4 linked regions of the Schizosaccharomyces pombe genome follow. The protein of the gene in region 4 purifies or fractionates together with the protein of the main gene of each other region. This does not show direct contact. Each region holds a gene or a part of one and is shown on either strand. Other genes may lie near its edges.

Evidence for each region.
Region 1: the proteins of hht2 (region 4) and pcf1 purify together in Schizosaccharomyces pombe (affinity purification with western blotting, with the first as the bait; one study listed by BioGRID). This does not show direct contact.
Region 2: the proteins of hht2 (region 4) and asf1 purify together in Schizosaccharomyces pombe (affinity purification with western blotting; 3 studies listed by BioGRID, with this or other methods). This does not show direct contact.
Region 3: the proteins of hht2 (region 4) and bir1 purify together in Schizosaccharomyces pombe (affinity purification with western blotting, with the first as the bait; one study listed by BioGRID). This does not show direct contact.

Annotation. Positions count from the first base shown.
Region 1 is NC_003423.3:2,537,574-2,541,696, reverse strand, and holds pcf1 (histone H3-H4 chaperone, CAF assembly factor (CAF-1) complex subunit A Pcf1), read left to right. Parts: upstream 1-1,712; 5' UTR 1,713-1,743; coding exon 1,744-3,378; 3' UTR 3,379-3,569; downstream 3,570-4,123. Other genes in the region: psm1 (mitotic/meiotic cohesin complex ATPase subunit Psm1/Smc1), read right to left, coding at 1-954; spo5 (meiotic RNA-binding protein 1), read right to left, coding at 3,670-4,123. UniProt on the Schizosaccharomyces pombe protein: Acts as a component of the histone chaperone complex chromatin assembly factor 1 (CAF-1), which assembles histone octamers onto DNA during replication and repair.
Region 2 is NC_003421.2:1,642,390-1,646,585, reverse strand, and holds asf1 (histone H3-H4 chaperone Asf1), read left to right. Parts: upstream 1-2,001; 5' UTR 2,002-2,030; coding exon 2,031-2,819; 3' UTR 2,820-3,684; downstream 3,685-4,196. Other genes in the region: osr1 (dehydrogenase), read left to right, coding at 710-1,471; SPOM_SPCC663.18 (GTPAse-interacting protein), read left to right, coding at 3,715-3,752, 3,789-3,820, 3,869-3,996. UniProt on the Schizosaccharomyces pombe protein: Histone chaperone that facilitates histone deposition and histone exchange and removal during nucleosome assembly and disassembly.
Region 3 is NC_003421.2:545,246-551,300, forward strand, and holds bir1 (survivin Bir1), read right to left. Parts: upstream 4,055-6,055; 5' UTR 3,904-4,054; coding exon 3,775-3,903; exon of another isoform or gene 3,728-3,774; coding exon 863-3,727; 3' UTR 560-862; downstream 1-559. Other genes in the region: tricalbin, C2 domain protein (phospholipid binding) ER-plasma membrane tethering protein Tcb1, read left to right, coding at 1-499; importin alpha family nuclear import signal receptor adaptor Cut15, read right to left, coding at 5,228-6,055. UniProt on the Schizosaccharomyces pombe protein: Component of the chromosomal passenger complex (CPC), a complex that acts as a key regulator of chromosome segregation and cytokinesis.
Region 4 is NC_003423.3:1,363,142-1,366,365, forward strand, and holds hht2 (histone H3 h3.2), read left to right. Parts: upstream 1-1,977; 5' UTR 1,978-2,016; coding exon 2,017-2,427; 3' UTR 2,428-2,677; downstream 2,678-3,224. Other genes in the region: hhf2 (histone H4 h4.2), read right to left, coding at 1,371-1,682; protein Sfi1, read right to left, coding at 3,075-3,224. UniProt on the Schizosaccharomyces pombe protein: Core component of nucleosome. Nucleosomes wrap and compact DNA into chromatin, limiting DNA accessibility to the cellular machineries which require DNA as a template.

The sequences.
Region 1 (4,123 bases), 1.2 Mb from region 4:
AGACTCTAGGGCTTTCTCGGCAATTGAAATGAGCTCTGGACGTTTCGAAGCAATCAACTTTTCTTGTTTTCGAACTTTTCTATCGAATGCAAGAAGGTTTCTTCGTATACTGCCCTCTTTTTCTTTCAACTTTTCTATCTCTTTAGTGTTCTCATCTCGCCTTTCGATAAGTTGAATGGAATCTGCCTTTAATCGAGTAACCTCTGCCATATTAGAACTAATACTTTTCTCTAGATGAAAGAGTTTCCATAAAAGGTAAACTAACTGCGCAGAGTCTCGTTTTTCTTTTTGACTTTGATAACGCTCGGCTTCAGTTTTCTGTTCTTGATATTGGCGTAACTCAGCGTTGATACCACGTTTCTTGTTAAACGAATGAGCAGATAAATTTACAGCCTTGTCCTGCTCGTCTTTAGATTTATCGTACTCAGATTTATATTCCAGAGAGCCACTTATTTGTTCAACAAGCTTTGAAAGTTCTAAAGGAGATTGCGAAGCAATGGTTTCAACATCACCTTGAAAAACTAAGAAATTTCGAGCTCGAACAAGAATATTCTCCTTTTGGAGAGATCCGCAGTATTCAGAAAACGTAACTATTTCTTCATCAATTTTGTATTCAGTAGCACCAGAAGGAGTGATTGCGCGTTTATACTCTCTTTGCTCCCCATTATCCAACTCATACATAAGTTTCACATATGCTGTAGTAGGATTACTAGAATCAGTGAAATCTGTATTATCTCTTTGCAGTATTTTCCCCCGATAGATCAGTTCTTTAACATTAGTTGATCGTAAATGAGAAGACTTGACCCCTAAAACAAAAGAAATGGCATCCATTAAATTCGATTTTCCGGCTCCATTAGGACCGATAATCGAGGTAAAGTCCTCAAAAGGACCTATAATTTGATGTCCTCGATAAGACTTAAAGTTTTCAACTTCCAGTCTTAGTAAACGTCCCATTAGGAAAACTTGGTAAAAGGAATGTACAAGGTGTGTATGAAACTCGCGTACGCGTCTTTACTTGATTAGATATTGTTACCTACTCATTACGATTACATCTCATAAAGTTTCAGAAATCCACGATATAATATATAGTGCAACTTGATATTCACTGTAACAAGAACCTCGTTATTATGATATTATCCTTCCAGCGAATTACTATTCTAAGCTGCATAGCCCCTGCCTATATATGTACGATGCATCGTTATTGAAAGAAGTTTGCTGCATATAAATAGGAAGAAAATTGATGATAACAACATCCGTTTGTTTCATTATTAATGAATTTGTGGTACTCCAATCACCAGTTAAAAAATATGGCAAATAATTTCAAAGAAAATTCTCGTCAACTGATATTAACTCAATCATAATATAGATGAGCCATAAAATATTAACATTAATATCGTAATGCAATGTAGCAGTAATATTATATAATCGTAGTCAGGTAAAATATATAACAAATCACCATATTAACCCATTCGCAAAAAACTTTGATGTTTAAGCTACTCAGATCAATCAGTACATATCTTGTTAGAACTAAGGAATTAAATTATTCAATTATATAAGCGTTAAGATGGATGAATAATAGATTGGTGAGACAGATTTGGGATAGTGATGTATATAATAGAATATTAACATATAATTTACGAACTCTCCTTTATCCTCTTTATTCGATCAGAGCGTCCGTTAAAACAACTTACGCACGGTTTTTAGCCTCCCTTAGGCTTGTTATTGATATTCGCAGCATTGTCTATGAATAGTGAAAGTGTTGATTCAGATGTCGCGGCCTCTACTAGTAATAAGGGAAATGAGTTATGTAGCTCTTCCACTGACATTACGTCTTTATCAGTGAGTTCCCCGAATGAATCGGTTATTCATTCCAGTCACTCTGCAAGTGAAGCTGATGAGTACGTTTGCAAATTAAGTTATGAGGGTAATAGAAAGAAAAGAATTTATAATGGCTCTGCTGAAGCGGGTAAAGAAAAGAAGCTTCAAAAACAGCGGGCCCAAGAGGAAAGGATTCGACAAAAAGAAGCAGAGCGTTTAAAACGTGAAAAGGAACGTCAACAACGAGAGCAAGAGAAAAAGCTAAGAGAACAGGAAAAAATCGCCGCTAAGAAAATGAAAGAATTAGAGAAATTAGAGAAGGAGCGGATTCGATTGCAGGAACAACAAAGGCGGAAGGAGGAGAGGGATCAAAAGCTTCGTGAGAAAGAAGAAGCACAGCGCCTTCGTCAAGAACAAATCCTTAATAAGGAAAGACAACAATTGAAGTTAAACAACTTTTTCACCAAAGGAGTTGAGAAACGAATCGCGCCAAACGAAAATTTTGTAGCTGACAAAACGGATGAACTGAATGAGTTTGAGAAAGAGTTTCGCCCTTTTTTTATAAAGCATCAGATGTCCCTTTCCAAATATCCATCTCCGAACGAATCTGATTCTTTTTTGGATGAAGTCCTCTCAACCTCTAAATCTTATCCTTTAAAGCTAAACGACATTTTTACACCATCAGATGCTGTAAGCTCCGCAAACAGTTTAGGTGTTAGTAATAGAAATTCCGAAAACGAGGTTCGACAATTAATGAGCGCATATCAAGATCCATCTGTTTCAAAACCTCAAGAAATTTTATCTTGTTTATCACAGATTCCTATTAAATTCATTTTCTTTTATCAGGATGTTCGCCCTCCATATTTTGGATCTTACACGAAAACCCATTCCCATGGTTCTAACGTTTTATTGAATCCCTGGCTTGAAGATGAAGACATAGACTACACATATGATTCAGAAGCAGAATGGGTAGCTGATGAGGAAGATGATGGAGAAGATTTAGAAAGTGAAGATGAAGAGGTAGATAATTCCGATGATATTGTAGAGGATGGTGATAATGCTTTTGTGGATGATGAGGATGATGACAAGGATAGTGTCAATGCTTCTAATACCCATCGTTCCTCCGGCCCATTAGAGGTAATCGTAGAAGGTCCGGTTTGGGATTCAAAGTTTCTTCCTGACTTTAATTGCTTATCTTTAATTGAACCCATTAGTTCATTTTCAGCATCTACATATCTCCAAATTGATCCTAAAGAGGATTTATGGGCTTCTCAAGATACTGCTCCAGCGTCTAGTGGAATGACAATTGGACCTACCAGTTCACTTTCTGATGATTTACAAGTAAGGTTTCCTTCTGAAGATATACCCAAATTTATAGAATATGTCCGTAACTCTCATGACAACAAAGTATTCCTGATCGAGAATTTGAGGCACATGTTTCCTTACGTAACCAAAAATATTATCAGCGAAACTCTTGGAAAAGTCGCTGTGCGTAAAGGAAAATCAGTATCTGATGGTTGGATAATCAAGGAGAATTTTGCATCCCTTTTATCCTCTTAATTCACAGTGTGCAATTATCTTGAACACTCAAGGACTATTTATACCTCTCTCTTTTTATACGATTAAGCAAATATGTATAATATCATTCATTAATACTGTAGTGGTTTGACCTTTGTTATATAACCTGATAATAAATAAAAGAAAAAACATAGAAAGAAAGCTTTGGCCCTTAATTGTAAGCTTTGTCTAACAGGTTTTATGTTGGTTTAAGTTTGAGTATGTGATAAGTGTTTGAAAAGATTTCGATATTAGAGTTTGATGTTCAAGTAAATGCTGGAAAGATGTTTAAATTTAATTAGCAGCAGAAGTAGCGGGATGGGCATGATATGGCGTAGTACTTCTGCTGTTTTCATAGTTTGAGGGATAAACGGAATAAGAGGGATACATACTTTGCCAACCGTAAGTATCATAAGTGGGTGAATGTTGATAGACTGTGTTCGACTCCAATGGCACATACATTCCAACTTTAGAGGGCATAGAGTTATTTGCGAACTCCTCAACTTTGGAAAAAGCATTATTAGCTGTCATTCCCTTAGTTAAAACACTGTATTCACGAGCACGCCATAATCTTCTTTTCTGAGTCTGACCTTTAAACTTCTTCTGATCAGTGGAATCAGCAAAACGGATTTGTAATGGGGGTAAAGCAGGATCCAAGACAAAGTTATTAAATTTATTAATTATGTCTTCAGCCGTTTTACGATCTTGCATACGAGCAAACCCAACACCTCGAGATTGTTCCTTAGAG
Region 2 (4,196 bases), on a different chromosome or scaffold from region 4:
TTTCATATGTTCTTACAAATGTTTACGAGCATAAAAAGTTTGAGCGAGTCCAAGGTGCCACTTGGATTGTTCAGCAGTTTTAGATCTTGATACGTTTTATTCAACCTTTGGATATATAAAGAAGGGCGTCGCATATAAAAAATTCAAGTGTTCATACAGCAATGCTTAAATCGGTTGCAAACTTATATTTTATCTTAAAATTATTCTATTTCTATGTTTTTTTTGTTTAATAATTTTTATTGTGAAAGGACTTCAAGGTTTAAAAGAGTTGTTTTTTTGTATCCTGATTCAACGCTTTTCTCCTATGGCCAATGTCTCAGCATTATCAATTAAACAATTTTCAAATAAATTCTCCCTTTATGATACTTTATCAAGGAAATTAAAAGAAAGGTGCATTTAAAGGAATACTATTCAGTATGCAAGCAGTATCAAGGAAGCAGCTGACAAACCAATGGAACGGGTTATAAAGATTAGTTGCAATATCCATATTATATGGCAAAATATCACCTAACGCTCTACGTGAACTACTATGAACCTGCTGATTTTGGAAGTATATTCAATTATGTAAGCATCAAAATTCACGGTTCAAATCACGTAAGCATAATGATTTGAAGAATTGGTATATAAGCACGAAGTTAATGATAAATTGCCGACACCAAATTACACTTTTCAAACGGATTCAAGGATCATTCAAATATTGTGTTAGAATATGTCTACTACCAACAAAATTTACTTTATTGCAGGAGGAAATCGAGGCATTGGACTCTCTCTTGTTAAGGAATTGAGCAACAGAGAAGGAACAGTTGTATTTGCAAGTGCCCGCAAGCCTGAAGCTGCTACTGAATTACAAGAATGGAGCAAGTCTCATTCCAATGTGCATATTATTAAGTTAGATATCTCCTCTCTAGAGAGTGCTAATGAAGCCGCTCAAGAAGTTGCAAAAGCTGTAGGTAAAGTAGATGTTCTTTGGGTAAATTCGGGCATTTTTCATTCTTTCAACACTGTTCTGAATACTCCTGATGATGTCTGGAACTCTCACTATAAAACCAATGTTTTAGGACCAATTCATGTCTACCAAGCCTTTTATCCTCTTGTGAAGAAAGGAGAATCTAAAATCATTGTTTTTACTTCATCATTAGTTGGATCCATGGGTGCTTTCTTCCCATTTAACCAATCTGGTTATGGCCAATCCAAGGCTGCTTTAAATTTTACAATGAAGGAAATTAGTTTTGAGCTACAAGATGAAGGATTCATAGTGATTTCAATTCATCCCGGAATGGTTCGAACCGATTCAGCTCAGGAAGCTGTAAATCAGCATGCTGAAGCGAAACCGGAAATTTTAGATATCTTTGCGAAACAGGCCTTGGCACCAGACCAAAGCGCTTCAGATATGTTGAAAGTTGTAGACAATTTGAAGCCCGAAAATAATGGATTTTTTTTCAACTATGATGGTACTACAATTCCATACTGATGGAAATTCACATCATTAACAAGTCATTCGGATTTGCTGTTAAGCTGCATCAATATTATATAACCGAATGATCGAAGGAACTTACAATAACCCTAAATATATGTTTTAATCCGCTTGTATATCTTTTTTAATAATTAGAGATGAAGGAGGTTATGTCTATTTTTTATGTTTCACATACGAGTTGTTTTTGCACAATGAAATTTGATGATCATATTAATTGTACATTGCATGCATTATTAATGAAATAGAAATTTTTATTAAACAACGGTTATGTTTAACTAAACTGCTCTGTAAGTTCTTCGTACTTTCGCATAAAATACTTAACAATGGTTATGTTTTCTATTGTTTACCGAATAGTGAGGCATTGTTTAGATGTGCCTTCAGTATTTATATTTACTGCATTTTAATCCTTATATGTTTGAATCAAATAGGTGTTATTACCTTAGAGCACGAAAAGCGATATAAAATAGTCAAGCGTATCCTTAATTATCCGAACTCTACGAAACCTTTCTTCACCTACGCTGTTCTTGGCAATCGCTTAGACGCGTTTCACTTCGAAATGTCAATCGTGAATATCCTTAGTGTTAATGTGCTAAATAATCCGGCAAAGTTCTCTGATCCATATAAATTCGAAATTACCTTTGAATGTCTGGAGCCGTTAAAAAGCGACCTGGAATGGAAGTTGACATATGTAGGTAGTGCGACGTCTCAAAGTTACGACCAAATTTTGGACACGCTACTAGTGGGACCTATACCAATCGGGATTAATAAATTCGTTTTTGAAGCTGATCCTCCTAATATCGATCTTTTACCTCAACTCAGCGATGTTTTGGGTGTCACAGTTATTTTACTCTCTTGTGCATATGAGGATAATGAGTTTGTTCGAGTAGGTTATTATGTCAACAATGAGATGGAGGGCCTGAACCTTCAGGAAATGGACGATGCAGAAATTAAAAAGGTCAAGGTTGACATTTCTAAAGTCTGGCGCAGTATTTTAGCAGAAAAGCCAAGGGTGACTCGATTCAACATTCAGTGGGATAATCCCGACTTTGACGATGCTCCACCAGTTCAGCCTGACGCGGACGAAGAGGAAGAAGAGGAGGAAGCTGATGAAATGGAGGAAGAATTCGATGAAGAGGGAGAAGGCGATGAGGAGGAGGAGGAGGAAGACGATGGAGACGGTGATGGAGAAGGTGATGGTGATGGAGAAGGAGAAAATGATGGGAAAGGATCGGAAGAAGAAGAAGAAGAAGAAATTGATATAGAGGAAGAAGAAGAAGAGTCGGCTCTTGCAAATGCTTCAGCTGCGGAAGAGAAACCTGAGGAGAAACCAGAGACGTCTCAGTAAAATGATAATCGGACTATTTTTTGAATGCTAATACTAATATTGACAAGAACTAATCCGATAAAGAACATGATTACTTTTTTGTATACTCTCTTTTAGTTTGCGCATATATATCGCTCTACCCGTTATTTTTTCGATGTAAAATATTCATGACTGGTGATAGTGTGAGAATAAAAACTATGGAATGGGAAAAGAGGAATAGCATTTTTTTTCCTGTTACCATAAAGCATTTTTCATAACACATCTTTTATTTAAATTCATTTTTGAACCGTCGACCTTTCCGTTGCATAATGGAGGGAAGAAGCATCTATTGTATGCCTCTTCCAATCGCCCTAAACGCATCATTTGTACCAACGTTCCATATTTTGGAACGGAGTTCTATTAGATTATTATTTTCTTTTTTTCCCATGTAAATTGTTGAAAGACTTTCGCATCCTGGTGTATGAAGTGTGCATTTCATGTTTTTCAAAACATAATTAGGGCACAGACGCAAGCTTTCTCTCCTCGATTTATCCTTACGGGACGGGATCTTTTTCCAGTTTATTAATGTGTGGATCCATTATTAGTATGTTCCATATTTAACTTATTCATCCAAAAGACAGCAGCACTCATTCTAGTTTTCGCCCTATGTATATTTGTTTATTGCAAGACCCATCAGTTGCGTACTCCAATGTAATCCGTTCGCTAATAAAACGTATTATGACATAAAACGCTATTTAAATATTGCGTATAGCAATACTCAACTCAATTAAGGATAATGTCTCTTGCAGTGGCCTCTTTAAATTGAGTGACACCCCTAAGTCACAGCAATGGGAAATGACATGTATTGACGCTACGCTGGTAAGACACTTCCCAACCTCCCATTTTCCGCAAAAAAACAAAAAAAGCGCATTACTCAATGAGTACAGATTCCTTGCCAAGAAGTTTGATGGAGCAGTAAGTGGTTTTGCTAGTTCTTTGCTAAATTGATAGGAAAGCGATGGAATTGCAACAGCAATTGCAAGGTACGATGGCGGTGCGTTTTGGAGAAAGAAAAGACTAACAATTGATAGCTTTGTTGGATGAGATCGATCAAAACAAACAGGAATCTGAAAACATTAGTCGAGAAAGCGAGTATCTGTGCCAATACATCGGCAGCATGATGGCCTTTCAGAATCGTCAGACTGTTCCCAAGAAGTAAAGTCGTTTAACCCTCTTTATGAAGCAACACTTGTACAGAAAGAGTTGTTGATGCACCATTGAATTGATTAATCGCTTTTTTTGATGTTTTTTGTATGATTCGTTCGATGAAGAAGAAAAAAAAATAAGGTTCGTTTGGATAGATGCGTAAGAACGCTGTTAAAACTGCGAATTCTCAGAAAAGTTTTTGGACGAATGACT
Region 3 (6,055 bases), on a different chromosome or scaffold from region 4:
GGGCGCAAAAGGAATTTCCAAAATGGGCATGTTTAGGCGTTCCTTGGAAAAGAATCCATCTCGCTCTGATCTCACGACAACCCAGGAAGCTTCTTCTTCTGCTTCTGTGCCACCGGCTATTGCACCTGAGTCTGCAAACGCTGCCTTAACTAGCACTATTGACAAGACTACGGGAGCACCTGAATTGGCACAGAAAAAGTATAAAGTATACGTTGGTCAAGGTAAAAATATGCCTCATAAGACTATAAAGATTATCGTTACAGACAATCAAGACCACAGCTTTAAAACCAAATCTCGGAAAGGCCCGTCTCCCTCATGGAACGAAGAGATTCCGGTCAAATGGAGTTTGGGTGACGAACTTCGAATTTCAGCCGTTACTTCCAACTTGCTTGGACATACTAAACTGGGTGAAGCGGTATTTCAAGAAGATGCTATTGGTACATTTAGGGTTGTAATTGGTGGTTCATCTTCTGTTGAAATTAAGGTCGAAGCTGAGTAGTATGGGTAATGCTTCCGGTTCTTTTCAACGTTCGTTATACTTTACTTTCACTATCTTGTTGTTTAATTCATTCTATTCATATTGACTCAAATATAGTACCATATTTGTATATTGTGCTGCCAAAAAAATAAATACTATAAGAAGAATTATTAAGACTACATCACCAGATTAGCGTAGTGTTGATATAAATACAGATAATAAGAGGATCCGATTAACAAAACAAGAAACATAAAAGAAAAAGAAAGAAAAGGACGCTGACAGTGCATTCAGACAAATTTAGTTCACATTACTTTAAAATGTAGCCCGCCAACATTTTCGCTTAAAGCGAGACGGTCCATAAATACAGAAACACAATATGTAAAATTATAAGTTTTGTATGTATTCTTCCGCCCGCTTACCTTCTTCCAGTAACCATTCTATTTTTTCTTCACAGGCTTCTTCAAACTCTTTTGCACATTTAGCATACATAAATTTAATCCACTGCTCAACGGTCATATCCAGTTCTTTTTCACTTAGTTTGTTTGGCTCTACAGGATTCGGTACTGGAGATTCTAATAGACTCGAGAAATCTATGGGTTCCCATGGTGGTGCATTTGCTTCAACTAAGGGCAAAGCATGTTTTGATTTGACAGGAGTTTGAGGAGCCAAAAATGAAGATTGGCACAATGGATCAAATGGACTGATCGAATGGTCATAGTAGGATTCATCTAAAGGCTTCCGGACACTTGGCAAATTTATACTCGTTACTTCTTTCTCAGCGTAAGTTTTAGCGAAAGCTGAAGAGGTTTCACAAGAACCAGGTGAAGTTTCAACATCCTTTTTACTTACATTATCGATTTTATCTACCTTCGTTTCCTTCTCAGGTGTATTTTTCGACACTGATCTAGTACCATTCTGTACAGAAGTCCTAGAATTTTTGATTTCTTGATCAGGAAAAGCATCACTTAACGAGACTTTGTCTACCTCAGTCAATTTTTCTTCAATCTTTTCAATATTTTCTAATTCATGGTTGGCCTCCTTTTCTTGCAATTTATCAGAAGTTTCTGTATTAACAGCTTCAACGGTTTGATTGTTCTTGCTCTGTAGCTTAGGAGAATTAATGTCATCTTCTTGAAATGTCACTTTTTCGGAGTTTCCGACGTTTCTGTCAGGAAGATCCTTTAAGTAACTTCCTGATTCAAGTTCATTGGGTTGTACGATCGGCTGGGGATCCAGGCTTGAATGAACATTCATGACAGTATGACCAGAATTAGCTTCCTCATGATTAACATTTTCACTTTTTTCATCGGAAACAGGACTTGATACGTCTCTCGTCTTGGTCACTCCTCTATCTATAGAAACTCTAACCGTTTGGGACTCATCGCAAATGGCCTTTCTTTTTTCCTCAGGAAGCACTTCGCTAATTTCAGTTTTTGGTTTTTCTATAAAGTCCACTATTGATGTATCAAACTTTGTTTTTGATGTTGAGGTACTTTTTCCCTTCTCTAAAACTCCGCTTACAAGATTATCCTTCCTTTTAATTGCTAAGAGAGGAATTAGATCAATTAAAGGTTTGTCATCATTTTCAGATTCAGAAAGCAATTGTAGTGACTGTTCAGACTCCATACTCTTATTCTCAAGATCCTCAAATTTACTAACGTGAATGGCAGTTTGGCTGTCCTCTGTAACTTTTACTGGTTCATGTGAATCCTCAGTAGACGAAACTAAAATGTTTTTAGATTGTAAAACTTCTTGAAATTTTCTCTTCTTTTCAGGAATTGGTATTTTCAAATTGGTCTCGTCATTTTCATCATTTGCTTCTTCCGAGTTTCTCTTTTTTGAAATGTTGCTAAACGAATCTATTGTACTCCTTGGTGAAAAATTGGTTTGTAATATTTTATCTCTGAAGCTTGAAGAAGACACTCTACCTCCTGTTGCAGCATCAGTCATATCGGGAGATGAAGTTGATGGCTTTGAAGAGATTGGTTGTTTTGTGGACTCCTCTATGAACGAACCTTGAAGATTTAAATGCTCATCTTCTTTTTCAACCTTCTGCTGTTCCGGAGTTTCGATAGCAACTTGTTTTTCTGTATGATTTTGCTCTTTACCAACAGAAGAAACAGAAGACGAAATTTCCTTTGATTTGGAAACCACAGATATTTCTTCTTCAATTTTTGATTCGATTTCAATTTTCGGCGGCGTAGACATACAATTATTTTGCTCATCACTTTCATCAGTTACAGATTGATGTCCAGTTATGTCAGAAACAGTTGTGTGGACGGATGTAGCTGGTGATACAAGATGTTCCAGCTCATTATCTTTTTCATCTTCTTTAAGTGGAATTTCTTCTGTAAAATTCTTTTTGGCTACTTGCATAGAGTCATTACATATCCCTTTAGAGAAGGGTTGAGAGGCGGTCAAGTCGTCGTCATCTTCGTCTTCATCAGAAAAAATTGGCTTAACAGGTTTAAAGACTGCTGGCTTTGATTTTTTTGGAGATTTATTTTTTCGCCTTGGAGCCGTAAGTAAAACGGGCTTCGTTGGACTTTGTGGTGCACGGGTGGGTTGTGAGTCTTTCTCCTCAGAGGTATTAGTATAAAGGGACATTGTTAAAGGACGTGCATTAAGATTATTCTTTCTACTAGGGGAGAAATTTAAAGTTTTATGAGATTTTGTTGAATCTCGGGTGGGAGAAACGGGAAGAATGGAATTATCCTCGGTCAAGTCTTCAGGGTCAATGTTCGACGTAGATAAAAAAGACAGTTTAGTAGGAGATAAGCTATTTGGGTCTTTCCATGTAAAAAACACACAGTCCGCACGACGGCGTTTGTGCTCGGTGTAAGGGTCATCATCCGGTTCCCAATCATGAAGATTAATATCACAATATAAGCAATGAGCTGCATCTTTAGCATCAGCAGTTGGATTGTATACAAAACCAGAAGCAGCCATTACACTCGGCTCACAGTGATAATCAGGGCGATTGGTATACGGCCATACTTTATCAACAAAAGTTTGTTCTCGACATTTTGTGAGAGCTGCAGCTTGGGGGTTCTGGTTTGGATTGTTTTTTGAGGATAAAATATATGCCCATGGACAGCTGGGGCTATGAGTAATATGCTCTTTCAATGGATCATCATCATCCTCCCAGTCATAAAATGACTTGGTACACATATAGCATGTAACATTATCAAGTCTTTCTTCAGAATTAGATTCAGAGATTGGATTGTAATAGAAACCGACAGTAGCAAGCTATTTTCTTGTTAGCAACACAGATGAAAACTCTATCGTCAACATACAGTTTCTGGCGTCGGTTTGGCTCGCGGCCATTTTTTTTTCTGGAAAGTGTCAAGTCGTTTAGAGTAATTACACATTTCCCTTCGAAACCGATTCCATCGGCGTTTAGAAGAAGACGTTATCGGTTTCATTCTGAGCAAGCTTCAACAAGTGAAATTTAGATACCAAATTTCGACTTCCGATCCTTAAAACTATAAAATTAATTTTTTTAAAACTTCTGGTTATTGTCTTTAGACAATATCAGATACTTCCAAATGCATAGGATAGGGAAGGTCGCCTCGCAAGGCGTATATGGGTAATGTTTACTTTTTGTAGATTGCTAGGGCACACGAGTTTACTGTAATTGAACAATGTCGTTATATTGCGTAAAATGTCGTTAAGTAGTATAGCAGACTTTAATAAATGGAAGGTTCACTGGTTACAAATTTTTCGAGATGACTAGGTTTAGATATTATATTGAGTAAGGAAGATTCAATTATTGTCTTTAATGTCAGCCTTATGATCTTTGTTAATAAATTCAAAATTTAACTAGAAGATTTTTGCTAGCACAAAGTAATGTATCATAGTTTGGTACTAATATTGTTACATATAATAATATTAAAGCTCCAACTCTAAAGTATGGAGCATCGTGAAAGAAGAATAAGGCTACATTTTCATGGCTATTCAAAGGAAACTATGCATATCAACAAGACAAATCTGATTTCATTTTCCTCTTTCGATGCGATGGTCAAAGTTATGAATACAATGATGAATCAGCTGTCTCATTAGAAAAAAGTTGAAAAGAGGATGACAAATGCGGTGGAAATATTGAACTTCCTAAAACCTCAAATAAAAGTTAAGCAATAGAGGAAGTACAATCATGAAGACAATGTAAAATAAATTAATTGAATTAGTCCCATGTTGTTTCAAAGGTACAAAACCTGTATCTAGTAGTGGAGCAGCCAAAAGCTACAACTAAATCGACAACAAAGACCAAAACTGTTGAATGATTCCTGTGTTTCGTCAATAAAACAAATAATAAACTCACAAAATAACCACGATCTATAAACCATTCGTTGGTTAGAAAGTGAATGAAAAAAAGTAAACAAAAGTTCGTTTCGACACGCACACTCAGGACGGACTTGAGAAATAATTTAACAAGTACAAGATGTTCAACTTTCCAGCACAATCATTAAACAACAATATAACAAAATGAGAAGAGTGACAACTGCGGAATGTATGTCTAGGTAAACCTCCTAAAATGTAATAATCTCGTCTAATAACAATCGCGCCATACACGTAAAGGTAAATGAAAAAATCGGCATCCTCAATTGCTCAATGAAATAATTTAACGATATTATAAACCACAGGACCACAGCCAAAATCATGAAGCCACTTCGATGTTTATGAAAATGAACAATCTAAAAAAGAACGAAACCTAAACAAGCATAAATGAATAATGTATGTGAAGTATCATTACATAGCCATATCTTCGGCATTAGTCGCCGAAAATTGAAAATCGCCGGCAGGCTCTTGTGTAGTTCCAAATGTAAACGTATCACCGACGGTTTCTGGTTCAAGCTCTTCGATTTCGTCTTCTTCACCGAAAAACTTTTCGATAATATTGTAAGCTTTTTGGTAAATTTCCGAATTAGATGAGTTCTGACATTCGTGGATCAAATCCATACCACCAGCATCCTCAACGTAGACGGCGTATAAATTGATTTTATCAGGGTTATTCGCGCGATCAAGTTCACCCACTCGCAAAATATTTTCAATACCATCTAAAGCAACCTGGATAATCTTGTTATCTTGACAAGCCAGCAAATTACATAAAGGTTTGATTGCGCCTTGCTCTACAAGGTAGCGAATTTGGTCGGGACGACGAGCGCCACCGGATGTGGCATTGGAAATGGCCCAGCAGGCTTCCTTTTGGATTTTAAAGTCAGCGGTCGTAAGGAGATGAATTAAAGGAGGAATAATGTTAGCTTCAATAACATATTGAATTTGAGAAGAATTACCGGCCGTTATATTACTAATTGTCCAACAGGCTTCCTTACGAACGCCATCGCGTGGACTGCTTAACAAAGAAAGTAAAGCACTTAAAGCACCACAATTAATGATGACCTGGGTCTGAACGTCATCTCCTGTAACAATATTTCCTACGGATCGGAGAGCAGGAGTCTGTACTTGAGCGCTAGGATGCATTAAAAGTTCAACAAGCCTACGAGGAATCCCTGCATCAATGATGGCTTGGATCTTCTCATTAGCGCCATCAGATAAATAGGAAATGGCCCAAAGGGC
Region 4 (3,224 bases):
ATCTGTCAAACACACAAAGAATTCAAGGACAATAAACTGTTGCAGGACAGGCAGAGCATTGTACCGTGTTCTATCAACGGCGCTTTTAGGGCAACTTGTGAAACGGCTAAAGTGTGTTGAAGACAAAATCAAGTGAAAGAGCAAGTATTAAAAAAGGGTAAATAAAAATAAAAGAAAGAAAAGTTATTTTAATTTAAAAACTAACGAACAAAAACCTTTTAAGTAAATAAGAAAAGTATAATTCAGTAGTGTAAAAATCTAATAAACACTGTTTCAATGTACTAATAATCTGTGTATATACTTTCTATTTCATATTATTAATATCATAGAGCAAAAATGGTGGCATTTTTATTGAAAATCGCTGCATATGTTCCTGTTGTTCATCGCTTTTATTAATCACGTATGTTAACAGACTGAACGGAAAAGAGCAGAAGCTTGTTTAATTTGATTTGAACTTCCGCAATTGCATAATTGCCACATTTCTCTATCTGACATTGCTCTCTTTATTATTATTTGATTGTTTCATTTGCTTGGCTATGGAAGTTCATAAATTAGTAGGAGGACGTGGGCTATTTCGAGATGAAAGCGAAATTTCACTCTTTACGCTTCTCAATTCCGACAGAGTGATAAAACGGTTTGCCAAATGCCCGTCTATCGCTATTGGCGACAGTGTACCAAAGACATCCAGTTTTGCTTCACCTACCGATACACTAAGATACTCAGCTGAAAAATTTGCTTCGAGAATCCGCTTTTCCTTAAAATACAGTCACATCGTTTATCAAAAATTATAGCCACAATACGTGAGTAATAAATTCACGCACAGATGAGTTTCCCTGTTGGGAAAAGAAGACAGCTTGCTTTCAGTACATTTACCTTACAATCAGCTTGTAGAGTTCTCTTTGTATAATATAAATAGATGGGTTCGTGCCCAATTTTTTCTCAAATTGAAGCCTACAATATATTAGCATAGTTATGATATGACTCCAACCTTCCAAACATACATTAATGAAACGTGATAACTACAGGCTAAATTTGTGTGTTTTCTTGTCCTCCCCCCCATAAATGTTAGATAAAAACAATTTATTTATTTATTTCTAAAAACAGAGCTTACTCCCAGAGTAAGTCAGACACAAGGTTGGGTAAAAATTTCTCAGACGTGCAATCCATAATGAAAGAAAAACAAATCCCTTCAATAAAATTGCATTTCTTCAAGGAAAACCAACCATTTTCGTGCAAATAAATATTCATTGAATGGATATTAAAAGAGAAATGAGTAAAGATAAAAAGAGAAACAACTATTAATATGCAAAGTAGGAAAAAAAGAAAAAGAAAATACAATTCACTTCAATATCGAAAAGTGTGCAACCAGTTTAACCACCGAAACCATAAATGGTACGGCCTTGACGCTTCAAAGAGTAGACAACGTCCAAGGAAGTGACAGTCTTACGCTTGGCGTGTTCAGTGTAGGTAACTGCATCACGGATAACGTTTTCCAAGAAAAGCTTGAGAACGGCACGAGTCTCTTCGTAAACCAAAGCAGAAATACGCTTAACACCGCCACGACGAGCAAGACGACGAATGGCAGGCTTAGTAATACCTTGAATGTTATCACGAAGGATCTTACGATGGCGCTTAGCACCACCCTTTCCCAATCCTTTACCACCTTTTCCACGACCAGACATCTTATATGAGTAATGGGATTCCTGTAAGTTCAAACAAACTGACTACCAATTGATCAATTTACAATATCAAAAACTAATTTTCAAGCGCAAACACTGAAATTCCTATGATTTGAATTTCAATGGCTTCTCGTACTAGTCGTAGTAGTTACTGTGTAAGTGCTGTAGTTAGGCGTCCATCTCCATATATATATACATTTTTTCAGGTAGCGGGGAAGCCGAAATCGCAATCTTAAATCAGGGTTAGGGTTGTGATTGACTGAGGTATATATAGCAGGAAGTGTCCACACCCGACGTGGAAAGAACCTTTTTGTAAGTTTATTTACCGAATTACGTTATGGCTCGTACCAAGCAAACTGCTCGTAAATCTACCGGTGGTAAGGCACCCCGTAAGCAATTGGCCTCTAAGGCTGCCCGTAAGGCCGCTCCCGCTACTGGCGGTGTCAAGAAGCCTCATCGTTATCGTCCTGGTACTGTCGCTCTTCGTGAAATCCGTCGTTACCAAAAGTCTACTGAATTGTTGATTCGCAAACTTCCCTTCCAACGTTTGGTCCGTGAAATTGCCCAAGATTTTAAGACTGACTTGCGTTTCCAATCCTCCGCAATTGGTGCTCTTCAAGAAGCTGTCGAGGCTTATCTTGTCTCTCTCTTCGAAGATACCAATCTTTGCGCTATCCATGGCAAGCGTGTTACCATTCAACCCAAGGATATGCAATTGGCCCGTCGTCTTCGTGGCGAACGCTCTTAAATGCATTGATTGCCTAATATTTTATTTGGTATATTGTGTTTATTGGGTTTAAGTTTTGCATTTCCTAATTTTTTCAATCATTGTCATGTATATTTCCTTGGTTTAATGTCGGGTTTAGCATATTAATTTTTATGTTTTTGCTTTCTCACTTGACTTATTCTGAAACACTGTTTTAAAGCTTTGTAGTTTTTAATTTTTTTTCCTTTGTTAATCTGTTTTTATTAATTTAAATAGTTTTTTTTTTATTATACGTATTTCATTTTTGTAAATTTTTCATTGTAAGAAAAAAATTTTTTTTTTAAATTTGTTTGACCGCCTGCTACTGTAAGTCGTAGTACTTGCTTTGAACATCTTATGGAGCATTACTCTCCTAACGATTTGGTAAAGTCCTTTTAAAATTATCAAGTGAAGCGTTCACTTCCTGCTTAAAGTTTTTTTTTTTTTTTTTTAAGTATTCCACACGTACTTGTAATGTGTTGCAGGATTATTGATGCTACTGTTACACGAATTTTCGACTATGTATTAAACTTTTCAAAGCAATGACTATTATATTATACATATCTAAAGGTTTATCAATATACTCTCAACTCATTTCAAATGGTTAGATAAAAAAAAAGAGAACTAACTCTCTCCGTCAATCGTAAATGTCAACGGGTATTAGGAGGTATAGGCCGCAGAAACTTGGAAAATCGAGATATGGGAGTCTTTAGTTCCTGCTTCCAGCGATTTTCAAAATTTACAGACTCATCAGTGAATTCATCATTTTGCATTGGCAAAGTGGTATCAAATGTATGCAT